Caenorhabditis elegans: one gene and its partner. The protein of the gene in region 2 purifies or fractionates together with the protein of the main gene of each other region. This does not show direct contact. Each region holds a gene or a part of one and is shown on either strand. Other genes may lie near its edges.

Region 1 (5,140 bases), on a different chromosome or scaffold from region 2:
TCCAAATATGAATGAGAAAGTGCTGTGAATAGACAATTGGCGACGTCTTTAGTCATTCCATAGTCCGCAGAAAGTACTTTCAGAATTCTGAAATAATGAGAAATCCATTGTTGACTGGAACGAGCCATATTCTCGGGATCTTCAAGCAATTGGACAACTGTGTCAAGGAAGCGAAGCAAAAAGTCCTTTTCCATGACATCCGGCGCAAAAACGTATTGAATCGCCTTTTTCTTGGTTCCGGCAACGGTGTCGACACGAAGTTCAAGTAATTCCAGCAGGCAGTTGATCATCTGAATTTTGAAAATTTTGCAAATAATATTTTTAAAATGGATTAACAAATCTGATTATATTATATTGATATTAAAATCCAAAAAAAAATCCTTTCAGCAGAAAAAACTATATGAAATTTTTTTTTAAATATTTATGGCATTAAATATAGAAATATTCAGAGTTTGGAGCTTTTTTCTAGAAACTAAATAATAATTTCAAAAACTCAATTTTTTAGATGGAAGAGCTCTTTTCTATACAGATTTCGGGGGGCTTTGACCAGAAAACACGAAATTTTATATATTTATATTTCCCAGATGCGATATTTTGCGAAATTTTCACTAAACGGGTCTTGGCACGACCGATTTTATAGTAAAAGGACGTGAGCCTTTAAGGATTACAGTAGTTGTTTTTTTTTTCGATTTTTTTCAAAATGAAATCGGAAAATCGAAAATTTGGGAGTTAAAAAAATCTGAGTTTTCTTTTTTTTTTAAGAAGAAAATTGATTTTTTTATTTATTTTACAAACTTTTTTTTTCGATTTTGGATTTTCTATTATCTCTGAAAAACCTAAAATTTCTCGAAGACACATGAATTTTTGCGTTTTTTTTTAATGTTTTTTCTTCTAAAAAATCTATAAATTTACAATTTATTTTTCCTGGAAAACTATAATTACCCGATGTCTCTGAATATCCTTCCACTTGACAATATCATCATCTAAATCAACTTGACGACCACCTCTTCCAGTACCACGTTTCGCCTGTTGATTGGCTGATGCTATCGATTTTGATACGTATAATTGAAGTTGAACAGTCAATCGTTGAGTAAGAATTACAAACATACTGACTGCATGCACCAATTCCACATCGACACTATGATCTTCTCCAGATTCATTTTTTTCGAAATAATCGGCCACGTAGTCGCTTACAGAGTCTTTTAGAGCTCCGGAACCTGCAAAATTTTGCGGGGTTTTGAAGTGGAAAATATATTATCTGCATTTGAAAATAATTATTATTTTTTTTTAATTCGACTTTGAACAACTAAAAACAGCGAAAAAAATTGTCTGAAAGTTGAAAATGACCGGAAAAAATCAGGCAAATCCGGCAGTTTTCAACTGTTTATCTTTGAAATTTTTAGACAATTGCCGCTTTTAAAGGTCCTATATTTTTTGAGAATTTTCTGATTTTTTTATTATTTTTTCCAACAAAAAAAACCGAAAAATAGTTTTTTGAAACAAAAATTTTCAATTCTTCTGTCGAAAAATTGAGAAAATTGTCTAAAACAATAAAAGTAATGTTTTCTATGAAAAATCAAAGTTTTTCAAAGATTTTCTCCGAAAAAAAACAATTTTTCAGCGAAAATTTTTGAATTTTTCGAAAATCGGAGGAAAAACAGGAGGAAATTTACTTTTTAAAAAAATTTCTAGAAGCTTTTTAAAAATTGAGGTATTTTTCAACTAAATATGCATGTACAAATTTCTAGGTTTTTCAATTTTCAATTTTTTTTCGAAATTTTTAAACATTTTACTTTTTTTTTGAAATTTTTTATTTTTTCCAACAAAAAAAAACCGAAAAATCTTTTTTTTCTAATCAAAATTTTTCAATTTTTTGGTCTGAGAAAAATTGAGAAAACTGTCGATTTTTCTGCTTTTTCAGGAAATTATCAATGAGTTTTGGGCACTTTTTTCCTCTTAAAATATAGCAAATTTGAACTTTTTCGTGGTTTTTTAAATTAAAAAAAATTCTCTTCAAAATCGGGTTTTAGAGCAATATTTTATACTTCCAAAATTCCACCAAAAAACGCACAAGAAACGAGATAATCGACGACTTTGAATCGATTTTCCCAATTCTCATAAGTAGAAGCTCGCCGTGAAAGTGAGCTCAACGATGGAAAGAACTTTGGAATTCCTCTCCAATCAGAAATATCCGAATATGAAGAGAAACTGTCGATATCCTTATCGATTTGTTCGGATGGAATATTATTGTCAGCTTCGGCGATGATTTCCGTGATACTTTTGAAGCCACTGAAAAAAAAAATTTGAAAATTTAGAGTTTTTGACAGGAAAAAAACAGCCTTTTTCTCGGTTTTTCAGGAGAAATTTGAAGAAATTTGTGATTTTTTTTTCATATTTTGTTTTAAAAAATTCCGATTTACTTCTGCATTTTCTGTGGAAATTTAAAAAAATTATTTTTGATTGAGGAAAAATGGAAAAAAAACTGATTTTTCGGTTTTTGAAATGAATTTCAAAAAAAAAAACGGAAAAATCCATGGTTTTTCTTTTTTTTCTAGAAAACGGTGCATATTTATTAAACTTCACAGGAAAAATTCTTTATTTTACTTTTTTTTCTAGAAAATTCCATAAAAGGTTCTGTAAAAAATTATATATTAGTTTTAAATGAAATTAAATGAAAATTATGGGTTTTTCAGTGAAGAAAGCATCGAAATTATTGCAATTTGCAGAGAAATTTCAGTAAAAATTGAGAAAAATATATCTAAATCTGGAGTTTAATTGAAATTTTTGAAATTTGATATTAAATTTTTTTTTTTGAAATTATCGGAAAAAATTAAGTTTTTTATCGAATTTTAAACTGATTTTTTTAGTTTTTTATGTGAAAATTGTGCACGAAATCTGATTTTTCTCACGAAAAAAAAAACTGAAAAATCTATAATTTTCCAACTGAAATTCTCAACCTCAATCCATCATTATTCCGTGTCGGCTGCTGCTGCTGTTGCTGGCTCGTCGAGCCAAAATCCATATCCTCATCTTCATCTGAAGTCGGTGGTGACGGTGTAGTGACAACGCGTTGTTTTCTCGGCATTTGTTAGGGGAAAAGCCTGTAGAAGGGGGAAATTAGTTTTTAAAAAATAATAACAAATCAGTGATATTTCTAAGCGAGCAAGTGAGCACTAGAATAAATTCAATAAAAGAAAAAACAATTAAAAGTTTAAAAATTAAAATATTTACAAAATTCTTCATTTCATTTTAATTTCAAATCATAAAATATTCTTCAGCGGAGGATTGAGAGAGAAATCGGATGGAGTGGGGGAGTTGTTTTGTATATTTCCGCATTCAAACCCCGGAAAATTCCGAAAAAAAAACACAATTTCCAGATTTTTCTAAGTTTTAAACGCGGAATTCTTGATATCATATACATATTATTACATGATGAATGACTCGATAACACATTTAGGATCAGTAGTACATTGATCCGGATCGAATTGTGATTCAAAAACACGAATCTGATTGTCTCGACAACGAACTGCAGCCGGAAGATATCGACAATTATGGAAAATCAGAAATTCCAGCGACATTCGATCTTTGAATTTGTCGGCGATCAATGCGATGCCACCGTATCGGGATCCACTGCAAAAAAAATCAATTTTTCGATTTTTCGAAAAATATATATATAAAGCTTTATTATGTTTTTTCATCAACAGATACAAAATTTTATGAAAAATTTCATTTTTTTCGAACTTTCGATGTTCAATTTTTCAATTATTTAAATATAAATATGCTGCTCTGAATGGAATAATAAATCTACTTACTGTTCCATTTTTTCGTGTATGAATTCTCGAATAATCTCACTGTACATGATACCCTCCTCGTCGTCTCTGAAAGAAACAAAATTGATGCGTTGTTGTTATGGTAACTAGGGTCTCGCAGCGATTTATCTCTTTTTTTTTAGTCGTAAAATCTTTTTTAATATTAAATTTTCTTTTTTTTACAATTTTTAAAGCTATTTGTAAGGGAAATAATTTAAAAATTGTTAATTTATCAATTGTTTGCCGATTTTAAGAGAAAAAAGTTTAGAAACAGTCAAAAATTACATTTTTGTGCTACATTTTCAAGAAAAACGGTAAAAAACTTGGATTTGCAGTTTGTTTCAGATCACAAATATATGAAAATCTCGAATTTTGAGCTATTTTTTGCAGAAAATAGATAGGAAATTGTGGATTTTTGTGCTAATTTTGAGAGAAAATTGCCTTTGTAAAATTGTAATCGCTAAAAACGTCCCAATTTATGCAATTTCTACAGAAAATGGTCCTGAACGCGCAAAATCCCCGAATTTTAAGCAACTTTTTTAAAAAGAAAACTGGTCAGAATTTCCAAAAATTATAGATTTTTGTGCTAATTGTTCGAAAAAAGATTCAAAAATCATCAAAATTGTGGATTTTCATGCTGATTTACATCTAAAACTGCTCAGTTTTAAGTTATTTCTACGGAAAATGATCCAGTGCGCGCAAAATCTCCAAATTTTCAATAATTTCCCAAACTTACAGCACTCTCGTGGCGATACCCCTGCAGAAATCGGCTTTCACAAGTGATTCACCGTGTCCTGTCGAACAAATCGAGATGGTTCGTTCACTGACTTGATCAAATGGTTCTTCGTATTGCCTTCGTTCAGACCATGTTCCACTTCCATATACACAGCTGTGACCAAGCCGTCCCGAGTGTTTTAGCACAATTCCACCGCTTGAAGTACCGGATTCTGAGTTCATTGTCTGCAAAAAAGACATTTTTCGTGGCGAAAATTGGAAAAATACGAAATTTTGATAGAATTCAGGGGGAAAAACTTTTGAAAATCGATTTTTTTTTTGCAAACCAAATTGGCATTTTACTGAAAAGTGGTAATTTTTTATTTGAAAACCGTTTTTTTTTTTCAGAGAAATTTAGACCCAAAACCGGCTAAAATAGAGGAAATTCGAGATTTTTATAGAATTTTGCCAAAATGGAGTTGACAATCTGGTTTTTTAAACTCGTATTTCGATCGAAATAGCTTTTATACGTGTGATTTGCCGGAGAAATGCTAATTTTCAATTTTAAAACCTGTTTGTTCCGGGAAAAATGAAAATTCCACAAGGAAACGTAGAAT
Region 2 (7,870 bases):
AAAATTCCTCTTCTCAAAAGTGCCTTCCCCCACACATTTGCTCCCTGTAACTCAATTTTGTGCCCATTTAGATATTATTTTCACTAGAAATTTCCATATCTTTTCCCCTCCATCCCCGATCCCCGCGTGGTATTGATCACACGTGTAAGCTTCTCACTTTTTTTTTCATATTTTCACCAAAATTTCTATTAGAATCATAAATAATAATAAATTATTATAAACTTTCCGATTGTACTTGAAACAGGTATTAAAGGTGCACCAGTTTGTCACAACGGGTCTCGCAGCGAAAATTCATTTTTTAACGTATTGATATTTATTCGAAAAATTAAGAGTTTTCAGTAGAAAGTTAAATTTACATGCTCATCACTGGAGCTCCGAAATCTGTAAATATATTTATATCTGGAAAAAATCAATTTTTAATGTTTTACCTCATCCTCTTGACTAGCCACCAATTTGTATCTTCTGCACATCGAGATAATCGCCGAAATTACTAAAACAACCATCATCAGCCCCGAGATTGATGCGTAAATGAACAAGAATCGATAGTAAGTGCCATGTCCAGAAGGGTGTTCGATTGAAATCTACGAATTTATTTGATAGAATTAAGAATTTTCTGTGGAAGTTAACGAATTACAAAAGAAAACTTTACATCGAATGCCTTAGTTGCATGTAGGGTAATAATGATGATGAATATGAAGAGACCAAGTGGAGAATTTTGCATTATTGTTGGGTGGTTTGTATAGTCGAATAAATAATTTCTAGGAAATGAAATTAGAGAATTAAGAAATATGGCGGAAAAGGTAAAGTTATTTAAATTCATAAAAATTGGGAAACGTGTTCGAGGAAAAAAAGGTTAAAATGTAAGTGGTAATAAATAACGAGATCGAAAAGCACAAGTCAATTTAAATTATTAATTTCTCATTTTTCACTTCTCAGTTTACGTGCACTTCTTGGAGGTGCTGTGCGAGCTGCAACTGCAGTTGGACGGGTAGCTGTAGTTGGACGGGATGGTGGTTCTGAAAATATTCAGTCCGTTATGAAAAACCAAATACTGAAGCGATCTGTTCAAACTCACTTTTAGTATTTCTGGGTGGACTTTTCAAAATCTCCAACGCATCCTCTTCAACTAAAGGTTTCTTTTTCGTGGCAGACGCTGGAGTTGCTCGTGGAGCTCTCGGTTTTCTAACAGTAGCGGGTCTTGATGGGCCAGGCTTATCATCTTCTTCCATATTCACATCATTATCAACTGCGATATCCGTGCTGATCAAGTTCGCATTTCTTTTGTTGGTTTTGGACGGCGCTGCTTCTTTTCTTAAGTCAGTTTTGCTTGGCACTTCTTCAATTTCATCTTCGTTCAATCCGAGAATTTTCGCTATCTTTCTATGAGCCTTTCGAAGTTCGTTGTATCGATGCTTGTCACCGTCTAATTCGTGGAGCTAAAAATTGAATGTTTTCAAATTAGAATAATTTATAATTATTTGGTATATACTTACAAATATATACGATTCTAAATCTCCATGAATTTTTGTGAGAGCTGATCTACTGAGACTCTGATATTCCACGAAGTTAAGAGCACAAATATAATAATCGACAGATGTTGAATCAGGAGCTCCAGCCATTTCGTGAAATATGTCATCCACAAGGTCGACGTGTGTTGGTTTACACTGAAAATTAAATCATTCATAACTATTTATCGGTAGCACAACTGAAAATTTTTAGGTTTTCGTTTTTTTCGAGTTTTTTAAAATCGATTTTTTGTCGTTAACCTGTCGTTAACTAAAAACCTCATACAATTGTAAAAGTTTACACCTTTTTTTTCGAAAAATGGCACTAGGAATTGTGATTCCGTGTCCAAAACGCAAAAAAATCCCCAAATTTGATTTTTTTTTTGAAAATTGCACTGAAAACTGACGGAAAAAATTTCGGGATTTTTTGGTGTTTTGGACGCGGCGCACAGTGATGTCGTTTTTTTTTTAAATTGTTTTCTTTAAAAAATGTATTTTCTGGATTAGAAAATATATTTTTGCTCCAAAAAAACTGTTTAAAACTTAAAACTTTGAAAAAAGGCAGGAGGAAAAATATTCGAAATTTTTTTGTGCACAATCCTTTCAATTTTCAACAAAAAAGTTTTAGACTTGCGAGATTTTCGCTTATTTTTCGCACTAAAAATAAATTATCGGATTCAACTCTGATCGGCATACCTTCTTCTGTTCTTCCAATGGAAGCGTGGAATGACGAGTCAATGCAACAAAAGTGGCTGCACATCTTTTAAGCTTTGTAACCATTTCATGGCGATTTTCAGTCAACCGTTCGGGTGTCGTAGAGTTGGCCCACATATCGAAGAAATTGTGGAATGATTTAATGAGAAGAAGTTGATTGTTTCTGAAAATAACTTTTTAATTTTTTTCATCAGTTTCCCAGGAAATGAGAAGCCAAGCTTACTTGTTGATAGAGCAGAAGAATTTGAGCATCACAATGATCGTACTGCGAACTTTAGCGGAGAAGCGATTAGTGATCGCGTATGAAGCTCGAGTCATAAGTGTAACCATTGTACGTTGCCATTTTTGTTGATTCGGGTCAATTTTTGTATTCAAGAAGAGTCTTGAAATTGCTTCAACTGCTCTTAACATGGTTTCACATTCTCCTGAAACATGTGCATTGACAACAATATCCGATAGAAATACTGCAAAATTGGGTTGCTTTGAATTCCAGCTGAACAGAGCGTCAACTTGATCGCCATGCTCAATTTGAATATCAGTGAGCGCAGCAATTAATGAACACTGAACTGGTTCATCTTGGGTGTTAAAGCTCTTCATCATTTCACGAAGAGTATTTTCTGCTTGATCATAATCATAGATTGCACCAATACCAATACATTCAGTACAGAGAACACGAGTACTCAAATCTTTCGATGAAATACCCTCGCGAAGCTTGTTGTTGTATCTATTCTGATAGGTTGTACTCCATCCAAGTAAAATTCCAGTTTTCAATAAAGCATTCAATACTTTCAACTCGTAGAGATCAATAACTGCGATTCCCTGAAACATTTTCAAATTTTGAAAATTAAATAATCTATATAAAATCTTACATCTTTGTCTGAAATTGTTCGTCGGCCGGTTTTGCGTGTTTCCTCTTCTAAATCTTTTCGAACCTTTGTCTCTCCAACGGGTACACTATTTTCAATAACTGGAAACTGTCCACTTTTATATTTCGATCTCATTTCTTCAATTCTATCATTAAACAATGTGAACAGTGCATTCGGATCTTCTTTGTAAAATTGTGCGAGTTCTTGAACGATGAGATCAATCACTTTTTTCTGATAGAACACATTCATCAACATTGAAATTAACATTTGCTTGTATGCATCAACTCCAGGTTGATCTGTTGGTGCATGTCTCATCACACATATTATATTCTCAACAATTGACATTTGCAGAACGAAAGTGTGATCCTCGTAGTCTGCTCTTTGGCTAATGTTCGGATAAACATCCAGATTCTTGACTCGAACGAGAATTCTGAAAAATAAAATTAATTGTTACTCTTATAAAACAAATAGTAAGAAAATCATACTTTTCCACATGCTCTACCATAGTGCGCAATGGACTGACGAAACGTGACATGGCGTTTATCTTATCAGCATCATTCCGTTTTCTATCGGAAATATAATCAACAAGACATCTCCAAAAGAAGATCATGGCTCGATTGGTGCTTGGATCTTGTCTGAAAATGATAATCTTGCTGCAAAAAACCATGAATCCAGCAAGAAACTCACGTATCAGCAAGCTCGCTGTCATCTAAAATTGATCCAACAGTACTTTTAGTAATAATCGGCACCGCACTTGACTTCATTTTTTCTCTCAAATCGCTAATTAAAACCTCTGCGAATGTGTTAATCGGATCCGCTTGACAGACGTACATTTGACGAATAACATCAAGTGTATGAGTTATCAATCGTCTCAAGTTTGAGTGACCTTCCAATGTTTCAAGAGCACCCGTTAGCCATAGCAATGTAAGTGCTTGGGCCGCAAGAATATATCCTTTCATTTTATTCTCTTCTCCTGTTGTGGATTCAGAATTAGAATTCAAAATGACAACATCATTGGAATCTTTGCTCTTTTGACTTTCGCTCCATCTCGTTGACAAATTACGAACCCAATTCTTCAGAACTTCCTTTGCCGCATCTCGAATATTTACTGGAAAATTACAATTTAATATCATTAGTCATAAATTACAAACAAACCTTCATGGTCTTTCAGGCATAAATCAAGCATTTCAATTTTTTCGCGAACATGTTTGTTTGGCCTGAGGTTTGAAAACTGTTCAAGTGCTGCGACACGAACATTGAGACACTTGTCATAATAGACAATGTCTGAAAGTAGTCTAACATCTGTTTCTAATGGTACCATTGATTGAACTGCAACAAGTCGGCATTCCCATGCTGTGTCTCTACAGGAACGGAGAAGAACTGAAATTTGTAATTTAAAAAGAACAAACGCTGGTATTGTATAGTAATTTCACAACACCTTGGCATGCTAGGCGCACGGATTTCTTTATATGGGCCAAGTTTCAAAATACGTATGAATTTTTCATTTAAAATGTTTGTTTTTCCTGTGAAAAGGATTAAAAAACTGATTTTCAACAACTTTGAACAGTAAAATGCAAGGAAAAAACAATGAAGCAGCCGCAAAATTCAAAATTAAACTACCATAAATTTTTTTGTGCTTTGATCCAAAAAATATATGGTAGTTTAATTTTGAATTCTACGGCTGCTTCATTTAGTGCGCCTTTATAAAAGTTTGAAAACTTACGTTCTCTTGGTGAATGTTTCATAGCATCTACTGGCCAATTCGATGGAATTGGTATTTCTTGCAAGAATCCTAGGCCTCGAATAGCTGGAACTCTGGCGGTTTGCTGAAAAAAGTTCAATTTCAGCTTTTCAGAATTGAATCAACTTTTGAATGAAACAAACCTCCTTGTCAAGCAGTGCTCTCTTCAATTGTAAAAACATTTTAGCTGCAATCTTGACTTCAAATCCAGAATATTCACCCTCAGTTGTTAAATATCGTTTCCCTGTCTCGAATATATAACTGATGAAGCAGGTCGTGTTAATTCTCGCAGCAACATTATCACTATGTCCCCACTGAAAATAAGTTTTATTATGCGGATTTTTATTAAATTGAATACTCACAGTGTTAATAAAATTGATAATAAAATCGAGGAGATCCGATGGAAGCTTGAAAGCTTGAATTTCAGTTATTGTCACTGCGATTAATTTAAAGACACGAGCCCGATGCTCAGGAACAGTCACCTCTTCGATAATCATTGAAAGTCGGACATCTATTTCATCAAGGAAAACTTTCATTAAATCGACCTTTTTCTTACGATTCTGATCAGCCTGAAAATTGGATAATTTTTAAAATTATTTTTATTTCGATTTTTAAAATAAATTAACCTTTTTAAATGCTGCAATCAGTTTCCGCGAACTGGTATGTATTTCATCATTAATATCATCACGAGATTGAAAAACTGTTCGAATTGATTCTACGACTCTTTTTCTATAAAATACTTTAGTTTTTTTTTTCATTTTGATACTTACTTTATGAAAAGTGCTGCAGAAATACAAGCTCGATCCTCTTTTGTCATGTTTTCATTGATTCTAAGAGTGGATACACCTTCGCTCAAAACTGTATTTTCCGCATCGTTTTGATCATTGTTTAATTCTTCATTATTCAAAAAATCAGCACTTTCGTTGAATGATTCATCTGAAGCCACATCTGTACCAGTTGATTTTTCCTCACGAAGTGCTGGCAACTTCGGCCCGCGAATTCGCTTCTTCGGTGGCATGAGAGGGGTGGGTTACTGAAAATTTGAAAATTGAAATGAATTAACAAAAAGATAGACATTCAGAAAAAGAATAACACATGTCGAATTGTTAAAATATCTTGTTATTCTCTGCATTTCCACTGATAGTGAAAATACCGGGGCGACAAATGATCTGTATATGTCCCAAAAATGGAAAATTACAAAATATCTTTTTAAACATTTAAAGACTCGTGTATAAAACAGTTTCCAAAGAAACAAAAGAACGAGGTAATGACTGAAACGACTAGAGCACGCCAATCTGCTGTTTCGCTCTCTTCGATTTCAAATTTGCATTAGAGCGCACATGCTTTCGCGCCGTTTTATTTATTTTTTATTTAAAAACGGAACTTTCGGAATTGAAAAGGGGTTTTTTAATGTTTACTAAGCCTAAGTAGACTAGAATTCAGTAGAGAGCAATAAAGTTTGTTTCGTCACCACTTAATCCTGGCAGTAATAACTAGAGCTCCTGTTAAATACTTAAATAAAATCAATTAATCAATTGAAGAAATATTAACAGGTGTTAGAAACAAACACATAGAAAAGGAAAAACAATAAAATGTGCAAATATTTTTATATTTATTAAAAGATAAAATTCTAGGTAATGCAATCACAGGTTGAAGTACGGAAAACTCGGAGCAACTGATCAATCGAAATATTTTATAACATTTCTCGCCATAATGTCTCCTTCAGAAATAACAAAAGCGTGTTCACAATTGTCTTCGTCCAATGTGACCTGCTCCTCACCAAGTCTGTCCCGCATGGAGTATCCTATAAATTTTATTTTCAATCTACACAACGTTTTCAAGGTCAATACCATGCTGCACTGGACACCATCCATCCTTGAGGCCATAATAGAAATGAACCACGTCTTGTTTTTCCAAAAGACGCTCATCTAGGTCTAAAACGATATCAAGTTCATCGTTTGACATGTGAACTATATTTCTGAACACATCCATATGGACAAGCTCAACTGCCGCATCGACGATCTCTGGGGGAGTCTGAAAAATTATGTTTTTTGTTGCTTGACATTCAAAAAAAAATTTACATTAGGATGTCTCAGGTTCAATCCAACAAGAAATTTTTTGATCGAGTTTGGCAGGTAATCCACCCACCAGCAAATCGTTTTTGTGAGCCAATCATGATGGTTCAATGTCTGAAAGTTTACAATTAAAAATTAAAATAAAGAAATTGAATTTACAGCTAAAGTTCCATGTAATCGTTTCCCATTTGGTGAGTTTGCCATATGAACTATCGTTGGAAACAGTCCAACAGCTTTTTCCACGTGGAATCCTTCTTTTATCACTTCAGGAATGATTCTTAACATCATATACGAACCAATGCTATGCCCCAAAATGTACAGTTGCTTTCCACGTGGCAGGTGCTCTTTCACAAATGATAGTTTGTGATTGACTTGTTCCTCCAGAGAAATTCGGTCTGGAAATATATTATAATCGACGTAAAAACGCGCTCCGCACCGGATCCATGAGTCTCGTTAGGTATTTGAAAAAAAAACAAAAGGGCGAAAAATACTGCGAAATCGGCGAAACTAAATAAGTTAAAAGGCTGGAGTGAACGGTTCTTCGTTTTATTTGTATTTATTACCATGATTTCGATGTTCTCCATCATCTTTCAAATGATCTGGCATTCGAACATGATTGAGACTTGAAACTGTGTAGAATAAATATTGATTTTTCAAGTTTTTCTGCTCATCTTCATCTTTCTTTATCAAATTTTGCAAAACTTCTCGTCCGAAATGAGCGTAGAATCCTTCGTTTCCGGGATTTCCTGAAATTAAAATTTTCTTAAATTTTTAAAAGCGCAATTTCCCGATTTACCTGGAATCATTAAAATAATCACTCGATTCTCGTTCTCCTTTTTCTTCTGAATTTTCAGCGTTTCGTCTGAAATATCCAACCCCATGACGGACATTTTCGTCCATTTCCCTGCTACTCGAACCCATTCCACTTTTCGAAGAATTGAGGTCATCTATATGTAAATAAATAAGAAA

The links.
Region 1: the proteins of capg-1 (region 2) and dpy-28 purify together in Caenorhabditis elegans (affinity purification with western blotting; one study listed by BioGRID). This does not show direct contact.

The regions. Positions count from the first base shown.
Region 1 is NC_003281.10:10,761,092-10,766,231, reverse strand, and holds the start of dpy-28 (Condensin complex subunit 1), read right to left. Parts: upstream 3,102-5,140; 5' UTR 3,086-3,101; coding exon 2,958-3,085; intron 2,290-2,957; coding exon 2,072-2,289; intron 1,218-2,071; coding exon 943-1,217; intron 291-942; coding exon 1-290. Other genes in the region: tasp-1 (TASPase homolog), read right to left, coding at 3,426-3,630, 3,813-3,878, 4,546-4,769. UniProt on the Caenorhabditis elegans protein: Required for both chromosome condensation and segregation during mitosis and meiosis and X-chromosome dosage compensation depending on its binding partners.
Region 2 is NC_003279.8:7,633,920-7,641,789, forward strand, and holds capg-1 (Condensin complex subunit capg-1), read right to left. Parts: upstream 5,867-7,870; 5' UTR 5,845-5,866; coding exon 5,597-5,844; intron 5,556-5,596; coding exon 5,453-5,555; intron 5,396-5,452; coding exon 5,189-5,395; intron 5,141-5,188; coding exon 4,970-5,140; intron 4,912-4,969; coding exon 4,809-4,911; intron 4,466-4,808; coding exon 4,241-4,465; intron 4,194-4,240; coding exon 3,773-4,193; intron 3,721-3,772; coding exon 3,571-3,720; intron 3,516-3,570; coding exon 3,089-3,515; intron 3,039-3,088; coding exon 2,443-3,038; intron 2,383-2,442; coding exon 2,202-2,382; intron 1,665-2,201; coding exon 1,494-1,664; intron 1,437-1,493; coding exon 1,076-1,436; intron 1,017-1,075; coding exon 919-1,016; 3' UTR 573-918; downstream 1-572. Other genes in the region: F26A3.1 (Lipid droplet-associated hydrolase), read right to left, coding at 6,506-6,630, 6,677-6,860, 6,908-7,015, 7,061-7,296, 7,465-7,647, 7,698-7,848.